Lytechinus pictus: one gene and its partner. The main gene of each other region encodes a partner of the protein of the gene in region 2 in a complex. Links are inferred from orthologs where the notes say so. Each region holds a gene or a part of one and is shown on either strand. Other genes may lie near its edges.

Region 1 (7,363 bases), on a different chromosome or scaffold from region 2:
TCATCTTTAGGAATTTAAACATGAAACAAAAAACATGCGAGATGATGATTATTCAAATACTGCATTAATCTACATCCATAAACACATATAGATTGCCTTTTTAAAAAGTACTAGACAATTATAAACTATAAATTTATTTTTATTCCTATCATGATATGGGTCAATGTAACATGTGCAGTACAGCTTCGTAAAAACAGGAGTCTTCCATTGGAGTGTTATGACATTTTTTATAAAGAGTTTGAAAAAGAATAATAAACACACCCTAAGTTCTAACACTTTCAGAGCCAATTTTCTTTCTACCTTTGCATCCACTACTGGGACTGACAATGTATCTTCCAACCTGATCCACAAGACCACAACTCAAAGTTGGTAATGATGAAATTACACTTGAATGTTCGATTTCGTTACCTGGGTTCCATTTTTTGTTTCTTGCGTTCCTGTGACTACATAGGTTACTCGTAATGTGGAAGATCCTTTCTTCTTCTGGTCAATAAAGAATGTCTCCAGTAATCTTAAAGATTGAAGAAAACATAACAGAAATTACTTGCAGCATTAATCAAAAAAGAGGAAAAAAGGATTACCAAAATGGAATTTATAAAGTAATGACAGACAACTATTAGGAAATGAAAAAGAGAAAGGAAGATGGTATCATCTATTCTTGATGATGATGGTGATGATGATGGTGATGATGATGGTGATGATGGTGGTGATGATGGTGATCATGGTGATCATGATGATGGTGATGATGATGGTTGTGATGATGGTGATTGTGATGTTGATAGTGATGAAGACGGTGATGATAATTGTGATGGTGATCATGATCAATGAATATGATACTGCTAATAATTATACCATGATGATGAGGAATTGGATGTGATGAAAATTACAATGATTGAGTGATGATTTGGGGGTAAAGCAATGAATATTAAGTCCCCATCCATCATTGCTGTTATCTTCATTTTCATTTCTTTGAAATGCTGTGTCAGGTAAGTAGCTTTGCCACATAAAGCATCAAACCTTCTGTATTACATTGTAATGCAGTTTAGTAAATCATCACTCTACTAAATTGAGCAAAATGAATTTACAAATTTTACACATCTAGGGAATTACAATTATTTATTATCTCCTTGTATTTACCTCTTTGCTAAATTCACATGAATTTCTAGTGTCTGACTGAGCCACTTGTAAGTCACCTGGAATTGAGAGTGTGAAAATGATATGGTTGGTTAAATGTGTAGAAAAATCATCATAGCATAGATCTGACAGTTATATCCCAAGTCTACTTTTAAGATACTAAAAATTCTTTCAATCACTATTACACTTACATACATGTAAAACTCATTTATTTGCTTTTATTTCTTTATGATATAATCTTATTATTCTTTTTGGCCTTTTTGAGTTTTGGGGACTTGTTTTTTGGGGAGAAACTGGCCCCAGCCCCACTGACACTGCACCTCCCCCCCCCCCCTTCCTGGCTACCCGGCTTGAGCTCGCACCATTTCAGTTAAATTGGCAAAGCCAACAAAGGTAAAGCTAAAAGGAAAGGCAGAGTTTAAGAAGTGCTGGTATAGGTCTCCACGCGGATTTCGCTCCTGTGCAAGTCGAATTACTACATCACAGAATTGTGAAAACATGGGTGATTTCAAGTTCGGTGTTGGTGTTGAGAGTGTAAAAAGGCAGCTGAACCGAGCTCCAACACCGAGCTGGGTTCAGAGGAATGATACCGATTGCGTTATCGATAGCACATGACGTCACGCCTCTGCGCTGCGCTGCTAAATCATCTCAACTTCACGCGACAAGTCTCGACGACGAAAATGAAATCGGAGAGAAATGCATTAAATTCTCATCATACAGAATACCAATGTTTTAAATTAAAACATTGGTATTCAAATTTAATTAATTCAAGAATTCGAAAGAGTGAACATTATTCTTCATCAAAATATATACAGCTCAAATGATTTGTACTCATCTTAAGCTGTAAAAGCTAATTTTACGAGGATGTTTCATCGTGTTCGCCGCCTGTTCACGAGCTTGAGATTGCCAATACCAACACCAACACCGAACTTGAAATCATGATTTGCCCAATCCCTGGGGGTTGGTGTTGGTGAATGGGGAAATTGCACGTAGATCGTCAACACCAGCCGCAGTGCTGTGTTCAGCAGACGACATTCAACACCAGCATTTAACACGAACTGCCGGAAATACGTCATATTTTCTGAGGTCAATCCCAACACCAGCCTGATTTCAAGTACGGTGTTGTGGCTGGTGTTGGTGTTGTCACAACACCAACACCAGATTTCAACACCGTAGGCCTACTTGAAATCACCCAATGTTGGACTTGGATATGTGTGGTTAAGAATCGCATGCACATACCGTATGGCATTTCATTCGGCACGGCGATGTAATCATATTTTTGGCACTGCACAGCACAGCCACAGGCACAGGGCTTTTTTTTTTTTTTCTTCAATATTTTAATGTATAACTACAACTTAGGATCTACGGGACTTTTACGGTACAGATCATACTCACAATTCTGTCTTCGTCGAGGATATACTCCTCTAAATTTTCGAGATACATGCTTGTCTCGCTGTCCATTTTTATTCAGGATAAAATTTTTGGCCCAGTGACGTGAGAAGGAACGTAACACACTCGATCTTGAATTGAACTGTGGCGCGCCATTTGACTGACCCTCTTCAACTTCCGAAGTTCCGGTTTCGATTGCAGTGCTGTCGCCAACAAAAGCGTTCTTGGTAACGGCCTTGGTTCAGCTTTTTTGTAAATTTGGACTGTGCACGTAATCAGGGTGAGCATAAAACGACTTATTTTATTTGCAATCCATAAGTTTCTTGTAGACTACCACTACCATACCATTTTTGTTGTTGTTTTTTTGCAGGTGGTAGGTGTGGCCGTGGTCGGCCAGCGTAGGCGTAGCCGTAGCGAGTAGATGGAGCCGGGCCCTATCCGCCGCTTCTCCTCCTCACCTCGGCTCAGCTGCGGCCGGCTGCGATAGCCTTCGCCTCGCAGCTCCTGGAATAAGCTTAGCCTTAGTTTAGTCTAGACCAAAAGCTTTAGTCTCTGTATTTTGGTTGTTCCACTGAACATTTTTTGGTTGTTGCGCGACAGCCAAAGTAGACCTTGTAAATTGTAATTAACGTTAAGTCACTGTTTTTTTTCCTCTTTAGTTTATCTTTACCCGTTTTGCCTTTTCACCTTTTGGTGCATTTCAGGCCAAAACGGAATACATCTCTAAGACTAAGTTAATAATCTAATTTTGGTCCAGTTCTTTTTATATTTTCATGAAAAAAGACAAAAATCGATGAGCCCCTTCAGGGGGATTTTGCATTGTTAACCCCCTAATGGCGGCTGCATGATCGCGAGCCGTCTGTGTACGACTACGAGGAGAATTAAAAAAAAATTAAATGGTTAAAAACTCCTCGAAACAGACACAGCTGCCAGCTGTCTACTCCTGGACGAAATGCCTGGCAAGCTGGATATTTTGTTTGGGCGGTATCAGGTTGTATGGCAGTGTATCCTATTGCCAGACACCTTTCTTTCACTCACTTCAGTGCTTTAAATTGCAACTAAGCCTAGAGGAAATACAATCAAGAAAAATTTGCACTTGCTATTCCAAATATTAAGAAAATTATGAACACGATAAAATTATTTTACATTTACCAACCATTTTCTTTGCATCACACTTGCCGCATACCCCTCCACAAAAAACAATTATTTTCGTGCATGGCAAATTACATCATGATTCCGGACGGATAAAGATATTCTTGATTATAATGATGTAAGAAAGATTTTTTTTCTCTCTACATCTTACATCTATTCCTAAATAGATGTTTGTCAGAGATTATTCCCTCAAACAAAGATGAGCAAAGGAAAGTAACATCTACCATGGATCACCACTGATATTAAATGGAAAATGAGGAAAAGAGACAGGCTTTTTAAAAGAGCAAGATGACAGCTTAGTACTGCTGCTTTGGAAACCTACAGAACTTAAGATTCAGGAATTATGTGGCTAAGCTTGTTCACAGGCCTGACTACGTGAACAACATAATTGGAACCAGTCTTGTTAAAAACCCCAAAACCTTTTGGTCATACATCAAAAGCTGCCGCTCTGAATTCCTTGGAATACCATCTCTACGCACAAGTACTAAGACGTGTGCTACAGCCAAAGAAAAGGCAGAGGCCCTTAATGACCACTTTCAGTCAACGTTCACTCTAGAAAGTAGTCAAACATTGCCATCTAAAGATAACTCTCAGTCTCAATACCCACCAATAGGGCACAGGTCTACAACTCCATACTTAGGACTGGTGTGGAAAAAGCAGTTGAGACAGCTGAATCCATCTAAAGCATGTGGTCCAGATTAAATCCCACCGAGACTCCTGAAACTTGTATCCCAAGAAATATCTCCTGCCCTCTCTTTCTTGTACCAGCAGAGCTACAACTCTGGTGTTGACAAGCTGGAGCCAAGCGCTTGTTGTCCCAGTACACAAGTCAGGTGACAAGAGTGAACAGTATCGTCCTATTTCACTCACATGTATACGGTAAGCTGTAAACTCATGGAGCATGTTGTCCTTAGTCATGTCTCAAAGCACCTTGTATCTAACAATATCCTGACGGATGCACAGCATGGATTCCGACAAGGACTCTCCACGGTCACCAAACTAACGTCAGCAATTGATGACTGGACCTCTGTCATCCAGAAGCGAGGACAAGTTGATGCTGTCTTTTTTGATTTCCAGAAGGCTTTCGACAGAGTACCTCACCAACGGTTACACTCAAAGCTCCTGTATTATGGCATCACAGGTGATACGCTCAATTGGATCATGTCATTCCTTACCAACAGAAGACAAGCTGTGGTAGTTGATGGAACCAAGTCACAATGGAAAAGTGTCACTTCTGGAGTGCCGCAAGGCTCTGTGATCAACCCGACTCTCTTTCTATTATTCATAAATGACATCCAAGAGCAGATAAGGTCAAGTATGAGGCTATTTGCTGATGACTGTGTAATTTATAGAGAGATTTCCAAAAGTACGGACCATCACGTTCTTCAACAGGAAAATCATCAAATCAGGCCCTTAATTCCGTCAGAAAATATTTCAATTGTTTATGCAAAACTATGTTGTGTGATATTTTAAGCATTTTCTGTCATTTAAAAAATAAATAAGGTATAAGTATGATTTTTTGCGACTAGCTTGTTTTGCAATCTTGTTCTGTATTGTTCTGTGAAATTGAACTGCGAAATTCTTGCGGTAAGAAATTGTTTTTGTACGCAGTATATGTGCGTCCGGAATCATAATAGTGTCCGGTAATACAATACGTGACTATACTTGTACTCAAGTACATGTATGGTAATGGATTATATTCTGATCACTTTTCATGAATTCATATTAATGTCATTATTCTCATAAAATTCACTAAACGTCGCATTCACCACAAATATCGTACCTACAAATTGAAAAGAATGGCTGAAATTGTGTTTCTTTTTTTACGATTATCAGCTTCTAATCGGACCCCTCTTCGCATGTGATATGTTTTGGTCACTTGAAAAAAGGTACTGTATTACCTAACGTGTGTTTTCTATGGGAAAAGTTGAGAAAAAAACATTTTTCAAATTTCAAACATAATTAGGGTAGGCAATGGCACTAGATTTGTGCTGTATACATGTGTCCAATTTATCCAATAAAAAGTCAATAGGTGAGTTGGCCCCAAAATTTCTTCCTACATTTTGAGTGAACAATGTAGTTAAATGTAGCGACATCTTCAGATTTTCTGGCAGCCAAGTTGATTCAAACAATGTGACTTTTTTCCACGGCTCCTTTATACAGAGGCTCAAACAGTCTAGGTCAGCATAAAGACTTTAAAATGCCATTATTAAGTAAAAGATTTTGTGAAATAAAAAACTCAAATTGTTGGGTGCGCAGATGATCTAGATGGGTATAACTTTAGCCTAGGGCGTTTTGATATTGATTTGCTTAGCATTGCTTTGCCTTTGGCTTTGGGTTGTTGAAGGACAAGTCCATCTCAACAAAAAGTTGATTTTAATAAAACAAGCTAAATCCAACAAGCATAACACTGAAAATTTCATCAAAATCAGATGTAAAATAAGAAAGTTCTGACATTTTAAAATTTCACTTAGTTTGACAAAACAGTAGGGAAAGGTGGGGTAAGTTGAGCATAGGGGCAAGTTGAGCCACCACCCCCAAGCCAATAATGAATGAGTCACACATTGTGGTGATGGCATGTATTGATGACCCATTACATAACCCTTTACCCAACCACATTGTTTTTGACTTTGAAACAAAAAGTACTTTTTTAGACGGAAAAATACAAATTTCAGCCAAAAAAGTAAAAAAGGGAGTAAAATAGAGGAGTGCTTTTTACCCACACACGTCTTTGAATATAATAAAGAAATAAGAACAATATTGTTAGTCCAAGTATGAATCTTCATTCTGTAGTATTTTAAATGATGGATGCATAAGAAATGTGTGGATGTGAAAATATCGCATTAAGTTCGGACTGGGGTACTTTGAGCCAGCCAACATGGGGCAAGTTGAGCCATGGTAATTCTTATGGTAATAAGAATAAAAAAATTAAAAAACCTTGAAAAGCCATTGATATGCAGGCAGAAAGGTGTAAATTATCATGACAGTTATTTTCTTTTAGAGGTTGTTAGTATTTATAGAGAATTAGCAAGTGAAAAGACTTGAAATAAAAATTGACATGCTGCTTCTTCCCGCATACATTTTGTACATAGTTTTTGTGGCTCAACTTACCCCAGAAGGTGGCACAACTTACCCCACATATGGGGCAAGTTGATCCATTTGACATCTTTTTTTTCAAAGGTCACAATGAATTTCAGTGTGGGGGTAGAAAGTTATATATAGGTGAAAAATATTTTCCAAGAATCAAATTTAAAGGCAAGGTACTTATTTCTACAATATTCTTAGTCATATCAATTCTAACATGCAAAATGCAAAAAGTGTCACAACTTACCCCGCCTTCCCCTACCGGTAATGCACATTAAGGTTGGTATGCAAATGAGCAGACTGATGACGTCATCCACTCTACTTCTTTTGTAGAATCTACTTTATTATGAATAATACTTGAGAAATATGAAAAATTCTAGTTTTCTCCTCATGACATTGCATTGTCATGTGCAACTAAATTTTATTCCTCTCTGAACATGTGAAATTACCATTATTTTTAACAGTTTATGGTCAAGTTAAGTTAAGTCAAGTTGGTCCTTATTGTCAAATCTGTAATAAAAATGGAAATATTGTATTATTCAAAGAATGAAAAACAAAGCAAAAAAATTGTGAGTGAGGGACATCATCGACTCTCTCATTTGCA
Region 2 (7,414 bases):
AGAACATTCTCTTGAAGACGACAAGAACACACTCGTCGAAACGTCGAGTTTGAGTGGTCCTTTTCAGGACCAACACTTGCCCAAGAAAGATACATGGTGTACAATGAAACCTACTACACTATTCTTCTTTGCCACGGAAACCTTCAGAAGTTACTACAAGAACAAACTTCCCGAACAATCAAGTTTGGGTGGTCTTACAAAGAGTTGCGATTGATCCGATCAATCACAACTATGGACAGCCATGCAGCAACGTCAACATCTAAAATGCATGAATGTTCAAAATGTTTTCTAGATATGACGTAAGGTACATAAATTCATTGTTTTCTTGACAATTTGGTGTGTTTGCCTTTGTTTACAAGGGACATTTTGCAAATTTTTTGTAGGAAAAATTATGACACTGATGGATCTCCATAGAGTTACAATTGATTGGATCAATCGTAACTCTTTGTAAGACGGGGCCCAGGGCTCCGTTGGATAAAAGTTACTATTATGGTAACTTTGTCATCCAGTCAGTGGCAGACCGTGACCCAGAGGAAACAAAGCATTGGAGGGGCACAGCATTGTTCACAGACAATACAGTGCCTCTCCAATCATTGTCTCCTCCGGGTCACGGTCCGCCACTTCATCCAGTGGTAACTACTTGCACCATGGGAACGCCGATCAACAGCTAATTAGAATCAAGGATTCCATGCAAGTTACCATTGGATTGCAAAGGTACCATAATGGTAAATTTTACGCAATGGGGCCCAGGAAGCCTCTTCACTGAACAATGATGCACTAGTGAGCGATGATCAAAGTTCTAAAATCGATAAGAAGACTTATGAAATTGACCATAAGAAAAAAAAAGTTGGTACATTCTCCATAAAGGACTATCAATAATAACAAAATAATATTCATATAAAAAAGGTTTTACTTAGAATACAGCATTTGGTAAAGAGATATTCACAATATTATTCATCACAGTCAAATTAATTTCAGTCTTTGATTTATTTATTTGCTGATCATCAATGTAATTACCGGAAATTAACTTGAATTGTGAACTTCATTATGAAGGTAGTATTGACCTTTAGAAGCGAGGAAGAAAAAAATAGCTAACTTCTCTCACAAAATGATACAAAAAGATAGGTTCAATTGGATTATCATCTCATTCGGTGCATTATTACTTTCATGGTATCTACATGTAGTATTCACAAATTTCATACAATATTCAAGAGCAGAGTACAGAGTGACAATAATATTACTTCATCCATTGAATTGCTCACCGATTATTTGTTTTCCACCATGTAAATGCACTATGTCCCAGGTTCCTATTTGGTTTAACGCATGCCTGGCCGATTCCATAGCACTGTATGATAACTGACCTAAAACAAAGAGAAAGAGATAAATACTGTACTTATCCAGGATAACTTTAATCTAAAGTGACCTTACTGGACCCGTTGGTAAATAATTCTGGTCAAATCATTGTTTGAAATAAACAGAGCTAAGTTCAAGCGTTGTGGATTTGAGTAGTCTAAACACTATCTGGAAATAAAAATTATAGACTTCAACAAATTGTATACTATATTTGTATATCGATTGTAATTGTGTACCATACTCAATCAGACTCAGAAGCAAAGTCCAGATGGTCAATCTTTATTTCACTGCATCTCAAGAAGGGAAATTAACTTGACATAAAGAAAATTAAAGAAATCAGAACTTATTGGAATAGTTTGTATACATTTACATTGTGATCAAAGCCTATCTTTTTGGTAGTATAGATACATGTTTACATATTTGTCTCAAAATCTCCAAGCATACATGTACTGTCTACTCTCTAGGATAAAGATATAGAATGACCAACACCAGAATTTTTTTTTTTTTTTTTTTTTTTTTTTTTTTTGGGGGGGGGGGGGGGGTACAAAAGAGACTTGTATGCCCCCATTTTTAAATTTTGTGGATTTTGTTTTTGCTTTGAGGGAGGTACAAAAGAGGCATATGCCCCATTTCCCCCTTTTGAGGAGTTTTAAGTATTATTATTATTTTTTTGGGGGGGGAGAACAAAAGAGGCATATGCCATATTTTCACCCTTTTGAGGATTTTCATTTTTTTTTTTTTTTTTGGGGGGGGGTGTACAAAAGAGGCATATGCCCACAATTCCCCCATTTGAGGATTTTTTAATTCTTCATTTTTCTTCTCTTTTTTTTTTTGGGGGGGGGGTGCTTCTGATTGTGGTGACCTTTGACCACATTTCTCTTTTTTTTAATAAATTTATCATCAACGAGTTCTTGCCAAGGTAAATCCTGGGTCCAGCCCTAATCTATGACAACTTAGATGGAATTATATACCTGTGATAAAAGAAGGGACGATAGACCCGGCCACCTTGCCTGTGTAGCTCGACTTCAGTGAATCCAGGAACAACGGGTACCTATCGGGGGTCACGATCTCATTCTCTTTCCACAACGAATTATCCAACTCCGATTTGGGATTCATCAAAACTACCCTGGAGAAGAAGAATTTCTCTGCCAGACAGGCTTCATTCCTCAGCAGATTGTTCCTGATTAGCCGAGTCTTAGATTTGAGTTCTTGGAGGATATTAGTGTGTGATTCATCGTAGGTCACACTTGATCGAGTGTTAGAGTCTTTGACGTTTTTTTGTCGGACCCATGATTTGCCGTTTTTGCTCAGTGATATCTTCCCAGACCAGTTTTTGACCTCAATGCAGTAGATTCCATACTCTGTCAAAAAGAGAGAATACACGTGCCATGAATTTGAAAATATCTCTTTCATCTGCCGATGTAGTACTAAATCAAACAATTTCTTTTAAGAACTCAATTATTCATTCATTTCATTATATTTTCATTCATCTTCATGTCATCTTTTATTTTATATCATTTGTATTGTCACTTTTTATTGATCTTTTTCAAGTTAAATAAAAAAAAAATATTACTATCATTATCATGGTACATGTATTTGTTGTTTATTTCTTATTTACATGTATTTATTGTTATATAAAATGGACATGTTGACTTGCAGCCCAAACTGGGGGTCAATAACTTAAAATACAATATGATTACAAGGCAAGTTTTTGCAAAATAACATATAAGTACAGTATACAGAGTTGCATTAAGAAAGGAAATCTACTTGCAGGATTTTTATCATTATTATCTTAAATATATTTGTTCTTTTTTTTTTTTGGGGGGGGGATTCACCTTTAAAACATTGCAAGGAGCAATTCCTAAGAGATAATATCTGCACATAATCAGATAATGCTCATAATTTGTGGGGAAAAAAGAGTAGAAAACCTATGATTCGTGAAGATGGTTGATGTACACAAAAGTATGTTCTCTTGATTAAAACCCCGTTCAAACAATTTTGAAGTGATCGAAACAAGTACAGTACCAGTCACCGAATCACTATTACCTGTTTCAACCAGAGAACAATAGATTTGGTCCACTGATTCTATTGTTCTCTGGCTGAAAAAGGTAATAGTGAGTCAAAGAATTGTGACTGGTAGTACTATTGAAGGAATATTTTACCTGTCAAAATGACAACATCTATTTCATATCGTCTCGTCTGGAATGTATCGGGAACCCTAAGACCTTGGTAGATGCACGAGGACGGCACCCCAGCTCTATGGACAAGGTCTTTGATTAGACTTTCTTCTGCTTGTCTTCCGGCTTTCACCGTTTCATCCTCATGATGAGAGGCCGGATTACTGGCCTCCTTGGCTTGAACTAAACGGCTGGTGAGATTAAACATGACCTGCAAGAGCACGAAAGGAAGAAAACAAATAATTAAAGTTAAGCTTTTTTGAGATATTTCCTGTCAGTTTAGAAATTATATTTAGGCTACTCATTTTCTTAAACATGATGTGTATGTGAATTGCCCCTGTTATGTTTGTAACCGAGATGTAAACCCAATTTTAGATAATGAATGAAAAAACAAACCACCAACAAAATTTATCAATATCAATTATCATAAACAATTATTGCTCCAATCAACTAAACCTAGTAGATCTACTACTATTTTTGTTTCAAAATTAAAAATAGTATAAACTACTTATCAAAGGAAATTCCTAAACCCTGCCTTACATATTATAAATATAGTTAAACGGAAAAAAAGAGAGGTAAAAATCATGAAAATTCCTGACTTGTCAATCAATGTTTACGAAAATATGAAGACAGTAATCAGTATATAAAGTCAAACTAATTAAGCTAGTATAGATCCTTGTCTGTGTCCAACAATTGGCAGGTTTGTGGAGAATGATAAATTGGAAACACACAGTCTAAGTCTAAAAAAATTACAATGCAAAAGTACCCTAAAAGTAAAAAAACTTAGCCAACCGGGGAAAGCCCATGGCCTTGGCAAAGAGACATTGCGAAATGCATTGCAATCCTCATCTTCATCATCGACTCGTCTCACTCTCAGTTCGTAATTCGAGCAGGCAGGCCGCAGGCAGCTGCAGTTTGTTCATGATCATGATAATAAAATGATTATACTTACGACTTTTAAAACAGAAATTGAAAATATAGCTCTTATTCGTTTTAAATCATCCCGATCTATCGTATGGTAACGTTTGAAGAGTGCTGAAATGCCTTATTTCAAACCTGTTGGAACAAAGAAAGACAACGATCGCCATCGACCAGCTGCGTGATGTAAACAATGATGACGTAACCACAAGGAACAAAACATTATTCAATACTATTTATTAAATTTCAATAGCTTTTCTACTCTATGGAGTCGAATATCATTTTGATGTATATCAAAAATATATACAATACATTAAATTATTTATTTAATGATATGAGAGGTAACAATTGATTTCGAAATATTATTCAAAACTATTCTTAAACAACGACTTTTACCAAATTACATATTGGACGCGGGAAAATCCCGAATTCGCAGAGTTCGCTTGATTAACCTATGGCTATGCCGTGCGATTAACCCCAGTGCGCTCCCAATCCTCGGCTCTCCATCTGGCATCGATTTGACGAAGCGTAGCTGAGGTAGGTACGTTAATTTGAAGTTGCGAATATTCAGAAATAATACCATATTTTATGATACATGATAGCTCATTCGGCCTCGCGATCGAGATTTTTAGGAATGGATAATTTAGCTTGCCTTGCTTCATAAAAATGCAAACATGAATTTCAGTAAGTGGGACTGCAGCATGCAGTGACTCTAGTTTTATTAAAGAAAGACAAGACTTCTTCTTCTTCTTCAAGCTACACTGTCTCCTTCAATCCTGAAGATTCTTGCAGTATTGTAGTACCGGGGACCGGCAGGTGCAATACACCGGGTGAACACCCTCCTCTTTGACGAATAGTGTTTGACTCACTTTGAGTGCACGAGCATGACGAGTGCGACTGAACCGTTAGATCATCTAATAATCTACTTTTTTTTGTAATTTATGTTTATTGATCCTTTTCATCAAAATATACATAACAAAACATTCATGATATAATGGATCACATATAAAACTAAGTTCAGATAACCGCATATAAAATAACATGTCTAACTCTAACTTAAGTAGTATAAGATAAGAAAACATATGACTAGGCCTATGTTTGTTTACAACAAAAGAAATTCAGGCACTTGGCCTGGCCTATAAAAAAATAAACATAACAAAAACAGCCTTCTGCTTTAACGCCTCTTTAAAGTATTCAGAATGATAGCCCACTTGCCATCATGTTTTCCTAATTTTCATTTCCTTTGTGCTATGGTATGTTCAACAGTTTCAAATGATAAAAGAAAGTTACAAAAATGGTGGAGAGTAGGTTTTGTTTCGTCACATCGACATCTAAATACATTGTTTACCTGTCAGGAGCAGAATGTTCAATATAAATATATTTCTGGGACTTTGGGGCTTACAGATACCAAAAAGAACATATCTTTCTGAGAGGAAATCAGGAAGATCTAGTGAAGCAAAAAGTGTACCAGTTAACATTATTCCAAAATTGGTTAACGTCGTGGCAAGAATAATAAAGATGCATTAGAGTTTCTGGTGATACTTTACAAAATGTACAAAGTGTATCTGTTACCTTGTTAATACGGAATAACCAAACCTTAGTAGGAATCAAATTATTAAGAATCTTGAATTGTAAAGCTCGAAGTCTCGTATTTATAGTAGTACGTAGAGGTAGTTTTAAGAGTTCTCTTACTTCTTTCTTGTTGAAGCCCATAAGTGTCTTTTAAATATGTAAATATATTCGAAATTGATGGGTTATTTTCCTTCAAAAAAATGTGTAAAAAATATACTTTGGTACACCTGTTACTTCTCTAGTGATGCCATCAATAGTTAAAGTTGGAATCAATAAAATGTTGTCGACAATGGGATGAAAGCTTTGAGATAGAAAAAATACTTTCCATTTTGATGGCATAAACTTGTAACAAATGTTAAGCCTTTATTTTTAGCATCTTTCCATCTTAGTGGTCTGCCATACTCATCCAACATATGTAACACTTTAACAAAACCTTTGTTTTTTTATCTCTGGCTTATGAAAAGATTTTCCATTTTGTAATATGCATCTATTATTCCATATTATTTGGTCACATATTTTTATGTTTTTTGAAATACTGTGCTCCAACTAATCATGACATCTTTATACCATTCAGGAATTGTCAGTTTTAAAATATTAAGATCATAATTACAATTAAATATAAAGTCACCACCTACATTTTGAAGCAGTGTCAACAGGATAATCTTCCATCCCTTTGAATTGGATGTCAAAACTCTAGATCTACTACTAACTGTTGATAGATCTAACATTTTGGATCTTTATTCAATATTGGAATTGAATAAAGTTGAACTGAACTGAACTGAACATTTCTAACACATTATATCTATCAAGGCCAGGCCAGGAATTCCAGAACATGAAATTAAATTGAGACTGAGAGAATAAACGTTGGAGACTAACCGTGGCGTTGTTATTAGATGATAGATCCAATGGCAATGCCATGGGCTATGGCAATGGATGATAAATGTGTAAAAGTTTGAAAACTGGTGAATGAAATGAATTAAAGATGCAATGGTTTTTTCATGGTCATGATTTTGAAATTAATCATATGGTTGATGATGATGGTGGTGCGGTGGTAGTGGTGGTGGTGATCATGGTGGCGATGAAAAAAATTATTTTACAAAGAATTTGGATGAGAGATAGACCTGGAAACTCATCAAGATGATGATGGTGATGATGATGATATTGTTTTTGTGTATTCAGATCAACTTAATTAGCTATTGACATCACAAAGTTATGAAAGTAATATTAGTAAAGTACATTTGCCTTACGCTAAGAAAAATAACCAAGCAAATTATCTAAAACCTCCAAAATGAGTAACAAACAGATTTCAGCTGTCAAGATTTTGATCACTCCAAAAAAAAAAAAATCATGACTGATGACTCTTAATCTTTTGGGGAGATCAAGATACTATTTAC

The links. The genes of interacting proteins can lie anywhere in the genome.
Region 1: DNA polymerase delta subunit 2-like (region 2) and DNA polymerase delta subunit 3-like share a complex: the UniProt entries of both Homo sapiens proteins name them as parts of the both the DNA polymerase delta and DNA polymerase zeta complex. The link is inferred for Lytechinus pictus from reciprocal best matches to the Homo sapiens genes POLD2 and POLD3.

What each region holds. Positions count from the first base shown.
Region 1 is NC_087260.1:25,102,388-25,109,750, forward strand, and holds the start of DNA polymerase delta subunit 3-like, read right to left. Parts: upstream 3,021-7,363; 5' UTR 2,596-3,020; coding exon 2,530-2,595; intron 1,194-2,529; coding exon 1,138-1,193; intron 512-1,137; coding exon 409-511; intron 5-408; coding exon 1-4. UniProt on the Homo sapiens protein: Accessory component of both the DNA polymerase delta complex and the DNA polymerase zeta complex.
Region 2 is NC_087254.1:6,787,818-6,795,231, forward strand, and holds the start of DNA polymerase delta subunit 2-like, read left to right. Parts: upstream 1-4,399; 5' UTR 4,400-4,985; exon of another isoform or gene 4,986-4,989; intron 4,990-7,414. Other genes in the region: uncharacterized protein LOC129269026, read right to left, coding at 1,263-1,361, 2,325-2,714, 3,516-3,741, 4,323-4,367. UniProt on the Homo sapiens protein: Accessory component of both the DNA polymerase delta complex and the DNA polymerase zeta complex.